Alligator mississippiensis: one gene and its partner. The protein of the gene in region 1 purifies or fractionates together with the protein of each later gene. This does not show direct contact. Links are inferred from orthologs where the notes say so. Each region holds a gene or a part of one and is shown in the gene's direction. Other genes may lie near its edges.

What was found. The genes of interacting proteins can lie anywhere in the genome.
Region 2: the proteins of ARHGDIA (region 1) and EZR purify together in Homo sapiens (co-purification; 3 studies listed by BioGRID and IntAct, with this or other methods). This does not show direct contact. The link is inferred for Alligator mississippiensis from reciprocal best matches to the Homo sapiens genes ARHGDIA and EZR.

The regions. Positions count from the first base shown.
Region 1 is NC_081831.1:492,212-500,136, forward strand, and holds the start of ARHGDIA (rho GDP-dissociation inhibitor 1), read left to right. Parts: upstream 1-4,828; 5' UTR 4,829-4,936; intron 4,937-7,925. Other genes in the region: ALYREF (THO complex subunit 4), read left to right, coding at 1-124, 231-294, 485-659, 3,862-3,876. UniProt on the Homo sapiens protein: Controls Rho proteins homeostasis. Regulates the GDP/GTP exchange reaction of the Rho proteins by inhibiting the dissociation of GDP from them, and the subsequent binding of GTP to them.
Region 2 is NC_081824.1:136,884,614-136,892,148, reverse strand, and holds the start of EZR (ezrin), read left to right. Parts: upstream 1-4,450; 5' UTR 4,451-4,711; coding exon 4,712-4,723; intron 4,724-7,535. UniProt on the Homo sapiens protein: Probably involved in connections of major cytoskeletal structures to the plasma membrane. In epithelial cells, required for the formation of microvilli and membrane ruffles on the apical pole. Along with PLEKHG6, required for normal macropinocytosis.

The DNA.
Region 1 (7,925 bases):
TTGAAGAAGGCGGCAGTACATTATGACCGGTCTGGACGCAGTTTAGGGACGGCAGATGTACACTTTGAAAGAAAGGCAGATGCTCTGAAGGCGATGAAGCAGTACAATGGTGTCCCCTTGGATGGTGAGTGTGCCTGGCTCTTTCCAGGGGACACTTGATTCAGTAGGGGAAGGATTTTAGTTGCCAGTGCCACTGGCAGAAATTTGTATTCCGTTTTCCCCTCTCCCAGGGCGCCCCATGAACATCCAACTGGTCACATCACAGATAGACACACAGAGGAGACCAATACAAAGGTGAGATGTTTTGTCTCATGGGGCCTGGGTGACTCGTTCTCTTCATGTGGGCAGTGAATTTGTGTAGCCTGCTTCTGTAGGAAGATGGCTTTGGGCTTCAGGTCTGTCCTTGCAGCACTTTCCTGGTGGTTGGGTTTCCTTGTGGTGGGACTGTGCCATGACTAACAAAACTGCTTTCTCTGCTTCACAGTGTAAACAGAGGTGGCATGACCAGAACCCGTGGGTCAGGATTTGGTGGTGGAGGCAGTAACAGGCGAGGTAGCCGTGGTGGGAACAGAGGGAGAGGCAGAGGAACAGGAAGAAGTTCAAAGCAGCAACTCTCTGCAGAAGAATTAGATGCACAGTTGGATGCTTACAATGCCAGGGTAAGTACAGGTTCCCTGGGTGGAGTTTGTATGTGTACATCAGTCCTCAACAGTCTACAGCTGTTTGCCAGAATGATGGGCCAAATGTGTCTCCTCGAGACTGGTCAGTACCTGGTTCCTGAATTGTCTTATTCAGAAGTAAGAAGTGGCCCTCGGGGACCAGCTTTTCAACAGGCAGAGGCCTGTTTGGGCCAGACTCTCCTGTCAGTGCTGCACATTACTGTCTGTGAAGATCTGGGTCCACTCTTTGTGGGTGAGGGGAAGAGCTGGGGCAAAGAGCTTGACCTAGTGTGACCTGATGCTGAAGGCTAGCAGAGAAGGGCTGCATCATTGGAGGCACATCTGGTGTTGTCCCCCTGCCCCTTCAAATAAAGGGGCCAGCAACCGCACTCAGCAGGGCAGCCTCCACTGACTGAATGAATGCATGCAGTGGAGCTGTCCTAAAGGAGAAAGCAGGCCTATGATTAGACTGGGAAATGTAGGTAATGGATCTAAAGAATTGGGTGCCTGCAGCTAGTCTGTTAACAACAGCTTAGATCAGGGGTGGGCAAAATGCAGCCCGTGGACTGAATCTGGCCTGCCAAGGGATTTTATTCAGTCTGCAGGGGGTCCCTCGGCCCCACCTAGCCCAGATGTGGTGGGCAGCCTGGACTGCAGTGCATGTGGTCAGTCCTGCCACCCCCGGGCATGCAGCAGGGCTGGGGCAGTACAGTGGCTGGACTCTGCTTGCCAGCCAGAGGAGCTGCTGCTGCCACTAAATCTAGGTACCATGATCTGTGCTGCGCCCCCCCGCCCCCCGAGGAGCAAGACGGAGCAGGTGGGAAGGGTCTCCAGGGAGACAGACCCAGGACCCTGTAGGCAGGGTGCACTCTGCTGGACAATGGGATGGGGGTGCAGGGGGCAGTGTCTGGAAGCAGGATGGGTGAGGTCAGGCCCAGGATCATGGGGCCTTACTGGGGGCGGATCGCGGCTTTACCCCCGGCCTCCTGCTCTCTTCCTGCCCACAGCCCCATCCTATTCACTCAGCTGACTGTGGGGGAGACCCTGCCCACTCTGTCTGGTGCCCCCCCAGACCAGTTTAGTAATCTATCACTTGAGGACTCTTGGTGAGCTGTTGTGGGCTAGGGGGTGCTGACCTAGCTTGCAAGAGCTCGCCAAAACTTCCTAGCCCAATTATTTGCCCACCCCTGGCTTAGACTGTGAGGCTTTCAGGCTCCTGTTAACGAGCATGTGGGCATGTGCTATGTGAAAGTCTCCTAGATAAGGGGAAGTGATCGGCAAACTGACTGCCATTTCAGACTCTAGTCCTTGCTAAGAGACACATTGGGAGGTATGTGAAGAACGAAGCAGAGCAAATGTGCCCATTTATCAGAATAAGAGTGACCTGGGCAGGTTTTGTCTAGTACATGCTGGAAAAACTTTTATTAAACCACTTCTAGGCATTTAACAGATAACGAAGACATGAGCAGCAAGTAGCATGATGGGTTTGTACAGGACATCTTGATGGGCAGCTCGATGGCTCTCTTGCAGAACTACAGTGATAGCGGGGGGAAATGGAGTTGGCCAGACCTCATGCGACTTAATTCACAAGCTGGAAGCTTAGCATGGAACAGGCTTAAACTATATTGTAGCAGAGCTAGCTGCTGTGAAAACACTTCCAGTGAGGACCCCTAGGCTTGATCTATGTTGGGACCAGTGTTCGAGAGGAGTGAACAGAGCACTTGAGTTGTTCCTAGGGATGTTTTAAAAGGGCTGGCGGGGTGAGTGACACGGGGCCCTAGGCCTGAGGAGACCAGCTGCCAGAAATGCAGGAGTCAGCACACAGGACTGTCACTGTATGGTCAGTGTGACGTTGGTTTGCATCTGCAAAGCAAGGAGGAAGTAGCAAGGGCCTGGTGTTATTGCAGGTCACGTGCTGAATCTACACCAGCAGCGTGACTGGCTGACAAAGGCTTATTTTACCAGTGCTTCACTAGCAAAGAAAACTACTAAATCGTGCGTGCGCTGAATGCTTGTGGCTGCCGCCAGGCTTGAGCAGCAGTGCTGCGGAGTGCTCTCTCCCAGGCGGTGTTATGAATGTCTGAAACCTAACTGGTTTAATGTCAGTATGTTGCTACTGTCCGTGGTGGTAGAAGTGCCCCCCCACCTGTAACACCTCATCCTTAACGCCTCCTTCTGCATCCTTGGCAGCCAAGAATCCCACCTGCACTACCCAGCTCAACTGCCTCTTGCGCCAGCAGGTGCATGTGGCACAGGCCTGTTTCTTTGACCCCTGTCCTGAGCCGTTTCCTCTACATTGCTCAGGCTGTTCACCCCTTGCTACTGCTTGCTGAGACCTGTTCTCCCATTGCCATGGCAACCTTGCCCTGAAAAACTGCTTACCAGCCTTATGACAGCCCCAACCTGGAGTGCTGGAGCCTGGCTTCTGTCTGCTGCCCCCCCCATGTGCTCTGGGGGGCCATGCCACGAGTAGAGCTGCAGGTACCGGTCGTGGTAGGGGCTGAACTGCGCAACACGGCAGCCAGATTCTCCAGGGCAGTTTCTGCAGTTGTTTGTACTGTGGACACACACCTGCAGGACACAGAAAACTAAGATGGGCACCTGTTAACGTGAAGCTAATACTAAAAACAAGTAATGCAGCATGCCCCGGACTGCCTGCGTGCTTCATAATTCAGGAGGGCTGCTCTCACTACGCACTTCCTGTATCTGAGAAGGGTGGGGTGTGCCTTGCCTTTTAAACATTACTGGGAAGAACAGGATGAAAATAAGAGGGTGACGGAGGAGGAGAGCTGGAGCTGGATTTCGGGGGGGAGGGGGAATAGTACAACCTCTGAGATGTGCTGGGCTTCCCTCTCAGGTGGTGGAAATGAAATGGGGTCTCTTAAAACTAGACAGGGGTGCTGGGAAAGAGGGGAAGGGAGAGCAGGGTCTTGCCCACCTTGGAGAAGTGCACCAGTCAGTTCATTTTTAAAGTGTGCCCAGTTAGGCGGGTTCACACCTAATGCATTTCAGCCAGTTTGACCCTTTCTTCCCATATTGGTATGTTCCAGTGGAAGCAGCTGGCTCTAAACTGATCATGAACGGGACTGAGGCTCTGGCTAAGCTCGGGTTGAACCGGAAAGCTTTGTGCGAGCACGCTCCATAGGTCCTCTTTGCCTTGCCCATGGCACAGCCGAGTAACTGCACTTCACTCTTGTTCTAGATGGACACCAGCTAAAGCAGCGAGCACGTCCCCTGCATGGAAAGGACTCCAGACATCTCATTCCATGCTCTCCGGAGGGAGGGGTGTACGACTGTGGCTACTACTATCAAGGACGGAATTTGTTTTACTTTTATGTTTTGGAATAGGTTTTAAACTCATGTAAAGGTTTTTTTTAATTCTGAAACAGACCTGTTTTGTACCGAGTTATTTTTGGGAAAAATTTTACTGGTTGCCTGTTGGGCGGAGGTGGCTTTTTCACCTTTGCCGTAATAAAATAGAAATGTGTCTAGATCTGTAAATGTTTGCTTCCTGTTGCAGCTGGAGCCGAGGAGCGGAGTCAGCGGGCGGCAGGAGCGTGAGCGGGTGGGAGGTGGTGGGCAGGCCTCTGTCGCATCCCGTGCTGAGGGCCGAGTCCCTTGCCCTCCGGAGGAGGCTACTGTTCTGCCTTGGCTCTTTTCCCCTCCCCAGCGTCAGTGCGAGCTGTGTGCGTGCAGCTGCGGGGGGAGCCGCCCTGCCCTAGCTGCAGGGACACGAGAGTGCAGCGTGTGGCGGGAGGGCCCGGACCCCGCTGCTGCACCAAGCCTGGCTGCGAGGGGCCCAGGAAAGACTTGGTCTTTCAGTGACCCCCCGCCCCCTGCTCGTTTCTCGGGGGGGCCTCGTGTGCCCCTTTCCGCCCCCCGGAGCCCTGCCGGGTGGGGCTGCTCCACGTGCTGCCGCGATCCGTCCCCCCCCCCCCCCGCCTATTTCCCGCCCGGTGACGTCACGGCAGGGGCGGGGCTCGGGCTGCCGCCTCCACTTTATTGCCACAGGCGCTTCCGGTTGCGGACAGCCCGCCATGCTTCTCGCAGGGGCGCTCCCTCCGGCGCCCGAACTCTATGGTCCCTCCCCCAGCGGTCGCATGCCCAGTCCCGTCTGGCCAATCAGCGTCGCGAGCCGGGCCGGAAGTGAGGCACTTGGGGTCGGCCTCATATAACAGGAAGTGACGGGCGTGTCCCGGAAGTGCGAGGGCACGCAGCGGCGGTGGGGCGGATCCGGGCGGCGGTGTCAGTGCAGCTCGGAGCAGCGAACGGGCCGGGTAGGGCGGGGCGGGGCGGGGCTGCGACCTCTCGTGCCCAGGCCCAGGCCCAGGCCCGGGGCCACGGGCGGGGCGGGGCGCCCGGGTCCTGCTCCCGCCAGTGCTGCGGCCTCCGCGCGCGGGGCCTGGGGGCGTCTCCGGGGTCACGGCGGCTCCCGGTCCCGCTCCGCCGCGGGGGCGCGTCTGTGCCGAGGTCTCGCCGGGCCTGCCCCCGGGCGCGGCCCCCCACAAAAGCCGGGCCCGGCGTCGGCGGGTCCGTGCGCCGCTGTCGGCCCGCGGGTGCCTGGGAGCCCCCGGCCCGGCCGCGCTCGCCCCTCGGGCCCCGCTCGCAGCCGCGTGCTCCCGCTCCCCCTGCCCCCGCGGAGGCAGCGGCGTCCCCGGGCCGGCCTCGCAGCCGCTTGCGCCAGAGCGGAGCCCGAGGAGACGGGATGGGCTCGCAGGCCGTTGTCCTCCCTCCCTCCCTCCCTCGCTGGCTGTCTGGCTGGCTGGCAGACCCGAGCGGGGTCGGGCGGCCCTGGCGGCGGGGCTGCCTCTGCTCGGTGCAAGGAGCCCGGCAGAAAGGCTCTGGAGGCGGCAGGCTCCCTCCGTCACAACCGGGTCACGGACGCACACGATGCAGGCGCCGGCGCCTGCTTGCTGCCCCTCCCCGGTGCCAGGCTCGCGGGCGCCCCGGGGCCGACCAGCAAGACCGCGGGGCCCGGCTGCCTCTGTCGTCCGTCCGTCCGTCCGTGGGCTCCTGGGGGTTGCCCCGGTGCCCCCACCCCCTCGCTGCCCGTGCCGCCGGGCCTAGGACTTGAGCAGAGCCCGGGCGCTGTTTCCAGGGCAGGCGTGGGTTGGGACGCTCGGATACTTCCTTTCGTGCCCGTGGCTGGCCGATGGGCTCGATGTCGGAGCTGGCCTGCAGCCCGCTTGGCTGGTCTGGCTCGTCCCCGCGCCGGGCCCAGGACAGCGTGGCCCTTTAGCAAGGTGTCCTGGGGCTGGCTCGAGTCGTCTGTCCCTGAGCGCTTGGCCGGAGGGGCCTCGGCTTCCCACCTCCCCGCTGAGAGCACGCGTGCGCCGGCTGCAGTCCCCAGGGGCTGTCTGCCAGGAGCCTGGGGATCCCGGCTGCAGGGTGCCCGAGCGTGGGTGGGCACAGAGACCCCAGGGGAGTCCGACGGCACTGCTGCTGCAGTCTCTTCGTGCTCCTGAGAGCCACGGGCGGGAGCGGTTTCGTGCTGGGAGGCTCAGGAGCTGCGTTCTGCCTCGGGCGCAGGGTGAGAGTCCTGTCCTGCCCCCTGCTGAGGCTGCGGGGAAGTGCCGGTGAGTCATTTTTCCCCTCTGCTCGAGGGCTGGCTTCCTTGTTGGTGCTGCGATGGCGAGGGCCGAGGCTTGCTGCGGGGAAAGGCATTGCCCCCTTGCCCTTGGGCTCCCTCGCCAGGCTTGCATTGCAAGGAGGGTGCTGAGCAGCTCCGTGGGTTTGCCTGCGAAAGGCCGCTCTGGGTGCATGTAGGGTTTCCTGGGGGCTTTTCCTTGCAGCACTGCTAGCTGTGGGTTGTCATGGTGACAGGTTAAGGAGGGCGTGTGCAGGCTGGGGGAGGTCTGGAGCGGGGAGAATCCCTGCAGCTGCACGTGGTGCGAGATGCCCCCGAGTCTCTTGTGCTGGCGCCTGCAGCTGTTTGCGTTGGCAGGGCTTCCCTTGCGCTGCTCTGCCTTCCCGGGCTGGGAAGGGAGAACCCAGGGCAGCAGCAGGTGCCTGCGGCCTGTGACCCACTGGTCTGGGGAGATCCTGGAGGAGGGTCTCCTGTGCGGCGGAGGTGGGTGCTGCCTGGTGCTGCAGGAGCGGAGCAGCCTGCGGTCACCCGCGCTGGCAGGCAGTAGCACAACTTGGGGCCGCAAGGCCGTGCGGTGTGGGAGCTATTGATCGGGGTGGGAGCCTGCAAAGCGGTGAGGAGCCCAGGCTCTTTGAGGGGGGCGTCTCCATGCATTGGTGCCCCTTGCCCGCATGGCGGCCATTAGCAGGACCTGTGTGCGGAGGTCAGCAGCTAGGGAGGAGCTGTGGTTGTCTATGCCCAGGTCCTGGTGCGTCAGCTGCTGCAGGCGCCACTTTGCTGGAGGTTGCACCGGTGCCCCGCTGCAGCTGGGACGCCTGAGCATGGGCCTCGGGGCCCCTGGTAGCTGGCGCGGTCAGTCTGGGTGGCCTGGCAGTGTGGTCTGCCCAGCTCTGAGCACCAGGAAGCAGAGGCCAAGAGCATGTTGCCACCAGCCCTCTCTGTCCAACTGACCTGGGCTGTACAGGCGCTTCCCCTCAGCGGCTGGAGGAAGAGCCCCGGCCTCGGGGAGGCTTCGTGACAGTCTCCTTCCTGCCTGGTTTGGCGCCTTCCCTGGGGAAGCTGCCAAGGAGCTGTGACTGGGGCGGGGGGGGGCGGCGCGCTGGGACGAGCTGCTGGGCGTGGGCAGGGCAGGGCAGGAGGTGGCAGCGGGAGCCTCTGGGGTGGGTGGGTGGGTGGGCGGGCTGTGCCGAGCCTTGGGCCCCTCTATCCGGCTGGGCACACGTGGCCCCTCCCGGCACCGCCAGCCCAGGCCCGAGTGAGTTCCTTGCCCTCCGCCTGCGTGGTAGCACTCTGCTTCCAGTGCCTCGCCGGGGGGTGGGCAGCCCCCAGGACCCGGCACTGAGGTGTCCTTCCCTGAGCTACAACTTGCTGGGCCTGGAGTTGTCCTCACTGTCAGTGCTGGCAGGGGGCTGCTGGGGCCCGTGGTACCCACAGGAGTCCCAGCCATGTGGAGCGTGGTGCTGGGGGCCACCAGGCTTGCTTTGGAGGGGGCAGTGCTGGGCTGGTGGTTACCTGATGCTGGACGTAAGGGCTTGGCCCTTCATAGGAAGCTGCTCCCCAGTAACGTCCGAAACGTGGCCACACCCAGGCTGTGTCCCGCCAGCTCCCTGCGCCCAGTGCTGCAGCCTGCGCTGGCTTGGCCCACGGGGCTGATGGCTTGCCAGGCGCTCTGCACTGGC
Region 2 (7,535 bases), on another chromosome or scaffold:
ACCCACACTCTCAGCCCCTCAATCTGGGCTCCAGACCCCTCCCTGGGTCCCTAGAAAGCCCCTTATCCCCTTAGTTCCTCCCCAAGCCTCCCTCCAGGTGTTACCCTCCATGTTGACCTTCTGGAGCTGCAGCCATCCTGCTGAGGTGGTGTTTTCTCAGCAGGCTCCACAAAATGCTACTGCTGGGTCATCTCGGGGCCTGGGCATATATCCTCCTCCTGGGTTGGGTGACTGCAATCAGCCCAAGCCATACCTGCAGGTTGCCCCAGCACTAGCCTGCCCACTTCTTAAAGTGGCAGGAGCATCAAGCCTCCTGCAACACTTAGCATAGGAAGGATTTAGGTGCCTTAGCAACAATTTACATGGAATTTAGGAGTCAATCCAGAACTGCAATCTTGAAAACTCCCGTTTTAAAATTCCAAGTGCTGAGGGCTGTAGTCTTCACATGCTTGATCCATATCTGAGTTACCTGGACCTTTATGCTACATTAAACTGAGCTTCATTCCTTCAAGGAGCTCCAAGCCAGTGGTCCCTGTATCCATAAAGAGTTACTCACAGGACTGATGGGGCAAAAAAATTTCATAAAATTTCTGCAGATGTCTGCTCCTGGATTCTTCAGACACAAAAAAAGGCTTATTTTGGCATTTTGCCATCCGATCACAGCCAGAAACAGGAGGAGCATACATAAAAATGAAAACTAATGGAAAGAAATAGCTTTGAAGCTAAAAAAATGTTCACTTAGAGTTCTAAGTGAAAGTTCATGTGTTGGGTTTTAAAAATATCCCAAACTTAGCATATTTATTTGTAATGCCTGCCAGAGTCTACCAAAAACATGGCTGACCTTTGGTCTGCTGCACAGCTAATGGCGCATGAATCTGAGCAGAATTTTGCAAAATTCCATCCAGGATGAATTCACATGTGTGACTGTTTAATATGTAGATGCTAAACATATAATTCCTGAACCCTCTGAAACTGGATAGTCCCTGCAGTATACAGGGGGACACTGGAATGGCTATGGCTATCCAACCCTCATTCACAAATAACTTACCTGCTTTCAGTGTATAGTTGATCCCACAGCCCTTTTCATAAGAGTTGGAGTTTCTGTGGTGGACTTAGCTAGATTCTCACCTCCGCTCTTACCCAGTCTGCTGGCCACCAGTACATTTCAGTGGTGCTTCAGGATCTTTCCTTAGGAAAGGTACATAAATGTGAAATACCGCCGGTCCCTTATTTGGCCCGTTGTATTTTACCCGCACTTCATTCATACACTTTCTTTCAAATCTTAGATGTGGTGGCATTTCATTTGCTCTGGCAGGGGTACTCCAATCATTGCTTGGTGGCATCTTGGTGGTCTCTTTGCGTACTGTTACGACTGTCTTTTCCCATCTACTCTCTAGTACTTGATTGGCCTTTTTGACCCAAATCATTTTTTCAGCTTGATTTTTTGCTCCTTCCTGTGTCCTATCTATATATTAGTGGTGTTTCATTGTGATCATGGAAAAATGTGGATTTTGGGTTCATTTTCTTAATCCAAAAATTGGGGATTTTTTTTAATCAGAGAAAACCAGGATCCCTGGTAATCAAGTCTCTTAGAGTTGGAGTGGGAGCTTTAAGGAAGACATGGGATATTGTAAAAGAGGTGAGAGTTGGTCACACTACTGCATCCAGTATCCCATGGACCTGCCTTCTGCCCTTTGGACCAGCCCAGTGTCAGGATGGAAGACACGGGGGACTTCAGTAAGCACATCTTGGCAAAATACCACATCCCCACAAGAATCAGAAATGGCTGCAAATAAATATAAACATCAGAATTGGGCCTTTAAATGTGAAAAGGCACACTTCAAACCAAAGCTGAAACCCTGCAGCGCAGCAGTCCTCAATTGATGCTGGCAAATAGCGCAATAAATTTAGACTGACCACACATGCAAAGTAATTATCTCTCAATTAACTGGTGAATCGCACAATAAATTTAGTCCAGCCACACTGTGAAAAATAATTATCACCAATAAAAATTACTATCCCGCTGTAACAAGAGCCAAGCAGCTATAAAGTTAGTGCTTAAAAATTATAACAATTCTATAGCTGGTTTCTAGACAGCTTTTAATTTGAACATGTACCAGGGCCCAGAGAGTCCCTACATATTGTCAAGCACTCACTGGTCAGCTCTTTTTATAGTTGGATAGTCCTTTTGATCCTGGGATAATTACTTTGCCCACCTTTGGCCAGTGTCAATTTATGGCATGATGAATTGTATGATATATCTAACGTGTAGCAGGGGCTTTGGTTGCACAACTCCTAGTGCTAACATTGGGTGGCAGCCCATTGCGCCTTTAGGGGCCCTGCTATACATTCAAATCAAAGCTGGATAGAAATCAGCTATAGACTTGTTAAACAATTTCAAGCACTAATTTCATAGCTGGTTGGCTCTTTTTAAAGTTGGATAGTCCTTTTGATGATGTGATGATTAGGGCCTTCCTAAAACTGGATAGAAACCAGCTATAACATTATTACACAGTTTCAAGCACTAACCTTACAGCTAGTTGACTCTTTTTATAGATGAATAGTCATTTTTGTGTGTTAATTACTTTGCCTGTTTAGCCAGTCTAAACTGATTGCATAATTCACCAGTTAGTTGCATAATATATATAACATGTTGCAGGGGCCTTATACCTTTACACCTATGGCTAGTCTGCATTTATTGCGTGATTTGCCAGTTCATTGTATGATCATTAGTTTGCATCTGTTGCTGGTCTACATTTATTGTGCGATTCACCCGTGCATTGAGTAAATGTAACATGCAATAGAGGCCTAAACTTTGCACCTCTGACTGACCTAAAGGTATTGTGCCATTCACCAGTTCCTGGTGTCATAGGTGCCAACTTTTATTTTGCCAAGGGTCGGGCGATAAGATGATGGACGTGGAAAGTTTTACACATTTCAGGTGACAGCCCTCTTCCCAAGGGGGGGCAGGGTTCTTAGGCCCCCACATACTTAGCACCTCTGCCTGGTGTGATCATTACTTTGCATGTGCAGCCTATCTACATTTATTGCATGAATAACCATGAGGTGCACAATAAATGTAATGTGCGGCAGGAGCCTTATAACTTTGCACCTGTGGCTGGTTTAAAGGTATCTCACCATTCTCTAGTTCATGGTGCGATCACTCTTTTGCACCTGTGGCCCCTCTACATATATTGTGGGATTCATCCATGCATAGTGTGATAAATGTAATGGGTGGCAGGTCCCTTATAGCTTTGTCTCTCTGCCTGGTCTAAAGGTATTCTGCCATTCCCCAGGTCATGGTGCCATCACTCCTTTGGCCCCTCTACATTTACTGCATGATTCCCGAGTTTGTGGTGTCATTGTTTCTTTGGCCCCTCTACATTTATTGCCCAATCCCCCGGTTCACGATGCGATGGATCCTTTGGCCCCCTACGTTTATGATGTGTGAGTCCACATTTCACTGTGTGATTGGTCCTTTGGCTTCTTTACATTTATTGCACAATTTTCTGGTTCGTGGCGTGAACACCCCTTTGACCCTGTGACCCATTTACATGTATTGCAGGACCCCCTGTGCCATTGTTCCTTTGCCCCTGTGGCCTATCTACATGCATCACTTGTGCACGGTATAATAAATGTAATGTGTGACAGGGGCAGGGCTGGTGAATCCCTGCTCTTGTGAGGACAGGTGCGGCTCCAAGCTGGGCTGGGGGGACACCAAGGACTACATCAGCGTGGAGGGGCGCTGCCCGGGCTCGCAGGTGCAGCTAGGGCAGATGCCCGGGCGCCCATTTCGTGGCTCCAGAAGACAAGCAGGGTCTCGGGAGCAAGTGCCCTGAGCAGCTGCAGCCCCCCCTCTTGCCTGCCCCTTCCAGCCCTGCAGCCACACGCATCCCACCTCTGCACACATACACAACACACACCACACTCCTTCCAGGAAGAGCACACACCAACTGCTGCAGCTTCCTGAGCCTGACGAAGGGTTTTTGAACCCAAAAGCTTGCTTAATAACGATTCTCCAACCATTTGGGTTGGTCTAATAAAAGATATCAAATTCACCCAAGGAACCTTGTCTGCCTATGTCCTTAGACCAACACGGCTACAACCTAAACCCCTACCACACTCCCTCCACACCCATGCAACCACACTCCCTCCACACACATACACACCCACGCAAACACACTCCCTCTGCACACGTGCACAGCCACACTCCCTCCACACACGGACAGCACACACCGCACTCCCTCCAGACGTGCACAACACGCACAACCACACTCCCTACACACACAACACAACACAACACAACACACATTTGGGACAACTCCGCATTTGAGACCCCCCCGCGCAAAGCGGCGCTGTGAGGAGGCGAGGCCGGGCCGGACCGGGCCCGCAGTCCCGGCCCGGCCCCGCCCGCACCTGCGCGGACTGTCCTGGAGGCCGGGGCGTGTCGGCCGCCCTGCTGCGGCACCCAGGGCGAGGTGGGGCGGCAGGAAAGGCCGGGCCCGGGCATGAATCACCCTCGCGCTCCGCTTCCCTCCCCCCGGCCCTGCCCTTAAGAGCCAGCCGGGGCCTCCGCCCGCGAGTGCTTGTCGGGGCAGCCAAGAGCTGCGAGCGCCTCCTCGCCCAGCTCCGTGCCGCGCCGCGCCCGGCAACCAGCTGCTGCCGCCTTCTGCCGCCTCGGCTCTGGCCCCTACCCCTGCTCGCAGCCACCATGCCCAAGCCGGTGAGTGCCTGCTTTGTGTCCTAGCCCCCGGCCTGCTCCTGCCTGCCGGGCAGGGCTGTGGTACTGGAGACCTCCGCATTTGAGACCCCGCGTTTGGGGCTTTTGGATACACCCTCCGCTAAGCCTGTGTCGTCCTCGAGCTCGAAAGTTAGCGCTGGGAAATGTGCTCTTTCTTTCTTTTGGCGCGCGCTTCTTTTCTTTTTCCACGTCGAGGTGCGTGCCGGTTGTACCGTGATGCGTGAGCCCCCTCCTGGGCTTTCGGCTAAGCCATTTTTATAGGAATAGTTGTAAATGATACTTGCTCTGCACTAAGCCGGTCTGGCAAGCAAGGGATAAGCCCTGGGAGAGAAGGAGTTGTGTGTTCCTGACCAGTAAGTAAAATGGCACTTGCCTGGTTCAGCTCTTGGGGCTAGAGTCTGTGCCTGGGCTGCCAAACCTCCGGGATGGCTTTTCAAGCCTGTCACGAAGCAGTAGGTGTAGGCACTCCCAGGAGCATCCCTCTTGTGTGGCGGGGAAAAGAGAAGCTATAAGCTGGGGTCAGAAACGTGACTGAGGCTCCATCTAAGGTGCAGGGGTGGGGGGTGTGAACAGAAAGGTGACTGACGTTCAGTCTTAGTTGCTCCCCTTACATGCGTGTCTGTGTGTAAAGAGGAGCAACTTTCAGACTCGGCCTCAGTCACTTTGCATGCGCACACATACACACCTTAGACTGAGCCTCAGTCACCTTTATGTGCATATGCGCACACACACGTATGTGTGCGTACAGAAAGGTAACTGAGGCTCAGTCCAAGTGGGTGGGTGGGTGTGTATGGGGTGAAGGGGGCGGGGGGGTTTCAAAAGTTGCTTTCTGTTAAAAACCGGACAGAGGCAACCACTTATTCTTTCTGCAAGCACCGAATGAAACTTTCATGTGCATACTTAGCATTCGCGTATAGGTCGCTTCTAGGACAAACGCATCTGGGACCTCATTTTGAAAGGCATTGGACACCCGCAACTCCATCTAAGCTCAATGGGAACTGTACAGGCCTTGTACCACTGAAACTCGGGTCTCTTCTGGATTGCAGGACTGTCATCAGCTGCTCTTTAGATTAGAAAAAAAGCTCATTTTTAAAAGAAGAAAAGGTCAAATAATGCATTTCCTGTTATATTCTAAAATGCTTATAGGTTGATAGGAAGGTATTGAATAATTGAAAAAGGAGGGATGTTATTACACTCCCAAATCTAACTTTTAGAGTTAATGCTATCTAAGATGATAAAGCTGCAACTAATTATTCATTTATCTTGTTTCCCAATATAAAAGGAAGAGTACTTGGTCAAACAGTTGGCAGGAAGCACTATTGCATTTAAGGAGCCTGATCTGAAATGTTTCCTTTAAAGAAGTCAGAGGCAGAATTGCTCCCCTAAGCAAGCCTGGTCTGCTTTATCTTCCATACTGTTGCATTCATTTTTATAAATGTTATCCTGGAAAATGTGTTGTTATTTGTGAACTTCCATACTATCAGCAGCCACTTGCTTAAAGGAGCAAGAGCAGTGATTCCCAACCAGGGTGCTGCAGCACCCTGAGGTGCCTCAATAACCTTTTGTGGGTGCCATGGGGTGCTACACAATGGTAGCAGTGTTGTTAGATGTGTAAATATGATTCACAGTATAAACCCAAATGGAAATCCATAGTGTTTAAAAACATTCTGACCTGTTGTGGCTTTTTTAAGGTCTTTGCAACAGAAGAATTTCTCTTTTTCTATAGTTTTAAATATTGAGTGAAAACTAACAGCTGACATTTTTTTCTAAGGGGTGCCTTGAATCCAAGATGGTTGAGAACCAGTGGTCTAGAGGTCTGAATCAAAGCTTGAGTTGAGTGAGATTTGGATCAGGTCCTTCCAATAACTGGCCGTGGGAACAGATTGCTAACTGTGAAGGACAAAGTCAGCGTGGATGCCTGTTGCTGCATATCTTCAATAGAGGCTTGTCATCAATTTACCTTTTAGAAATGCAGTGGAACAGCTGTGGCAAGTTAGTCCTTTTTTTCCACTGTTGCTCTGACTGCAAAAAAATGGCTGGTCAGATTTTATTTTCTGATAAGCAGCCACTATCATTCAACCCAACATAACAGCAGTGTGTTGTAATTACATTTTTAGTGGCAGATATGCTATTGCTCAAGGTTAACCGTGGATGTATGTGTATGTTGTTAAAAAATTATTGTTTACTAGTACACTAATTTCTCTGAATGTTTCTGTGAGGGGAGGAAACACCCCGTTCTATTAAAGACATGGAGCAGTGTCAATTTACCAAGTCTTTCTTGCAGAACCTCTCCTCCACGCCCCCCAGATCTTGAATTTTCCCAGTAAATTGTATTGGCAGTTTTACCTAGTTCACAGTCTGCATAACAGGAATATATTTTCTCAGTCAGGTGTTGAGAGAGCTTTAGAGTTAATCCATTCTGTCCTCTTTCTCGTTCCTTGTTATTTCTTCAATTTGCAGGCTGTTTTTGGTACATGATATAAAAACGATATAGCTTGCCTTGAAAGTGTGGGGGTTTTTTTGTTTTGTTTTGCTTTTTGAATAAAACCCCCCAAAAAACAAACCTGCAGAGGACTAGCATGTAAACTTATATAGTTTACCCAAAGTGGCTTTGGGGAACAAAGTTTATGAAGTCGCACAGTCAGAATAATCTGAACTCCAGGGCTTTGATTAATTTATGCTGAAAGCCAGTGATGCTTGTGGACAGATTTTTTTTTTTTATCTAATCAACAAAAGCTGCTTACAACCATGTTCTTAATTTTATGTGGGCTGAGCATGTCAACAGATACTAGAG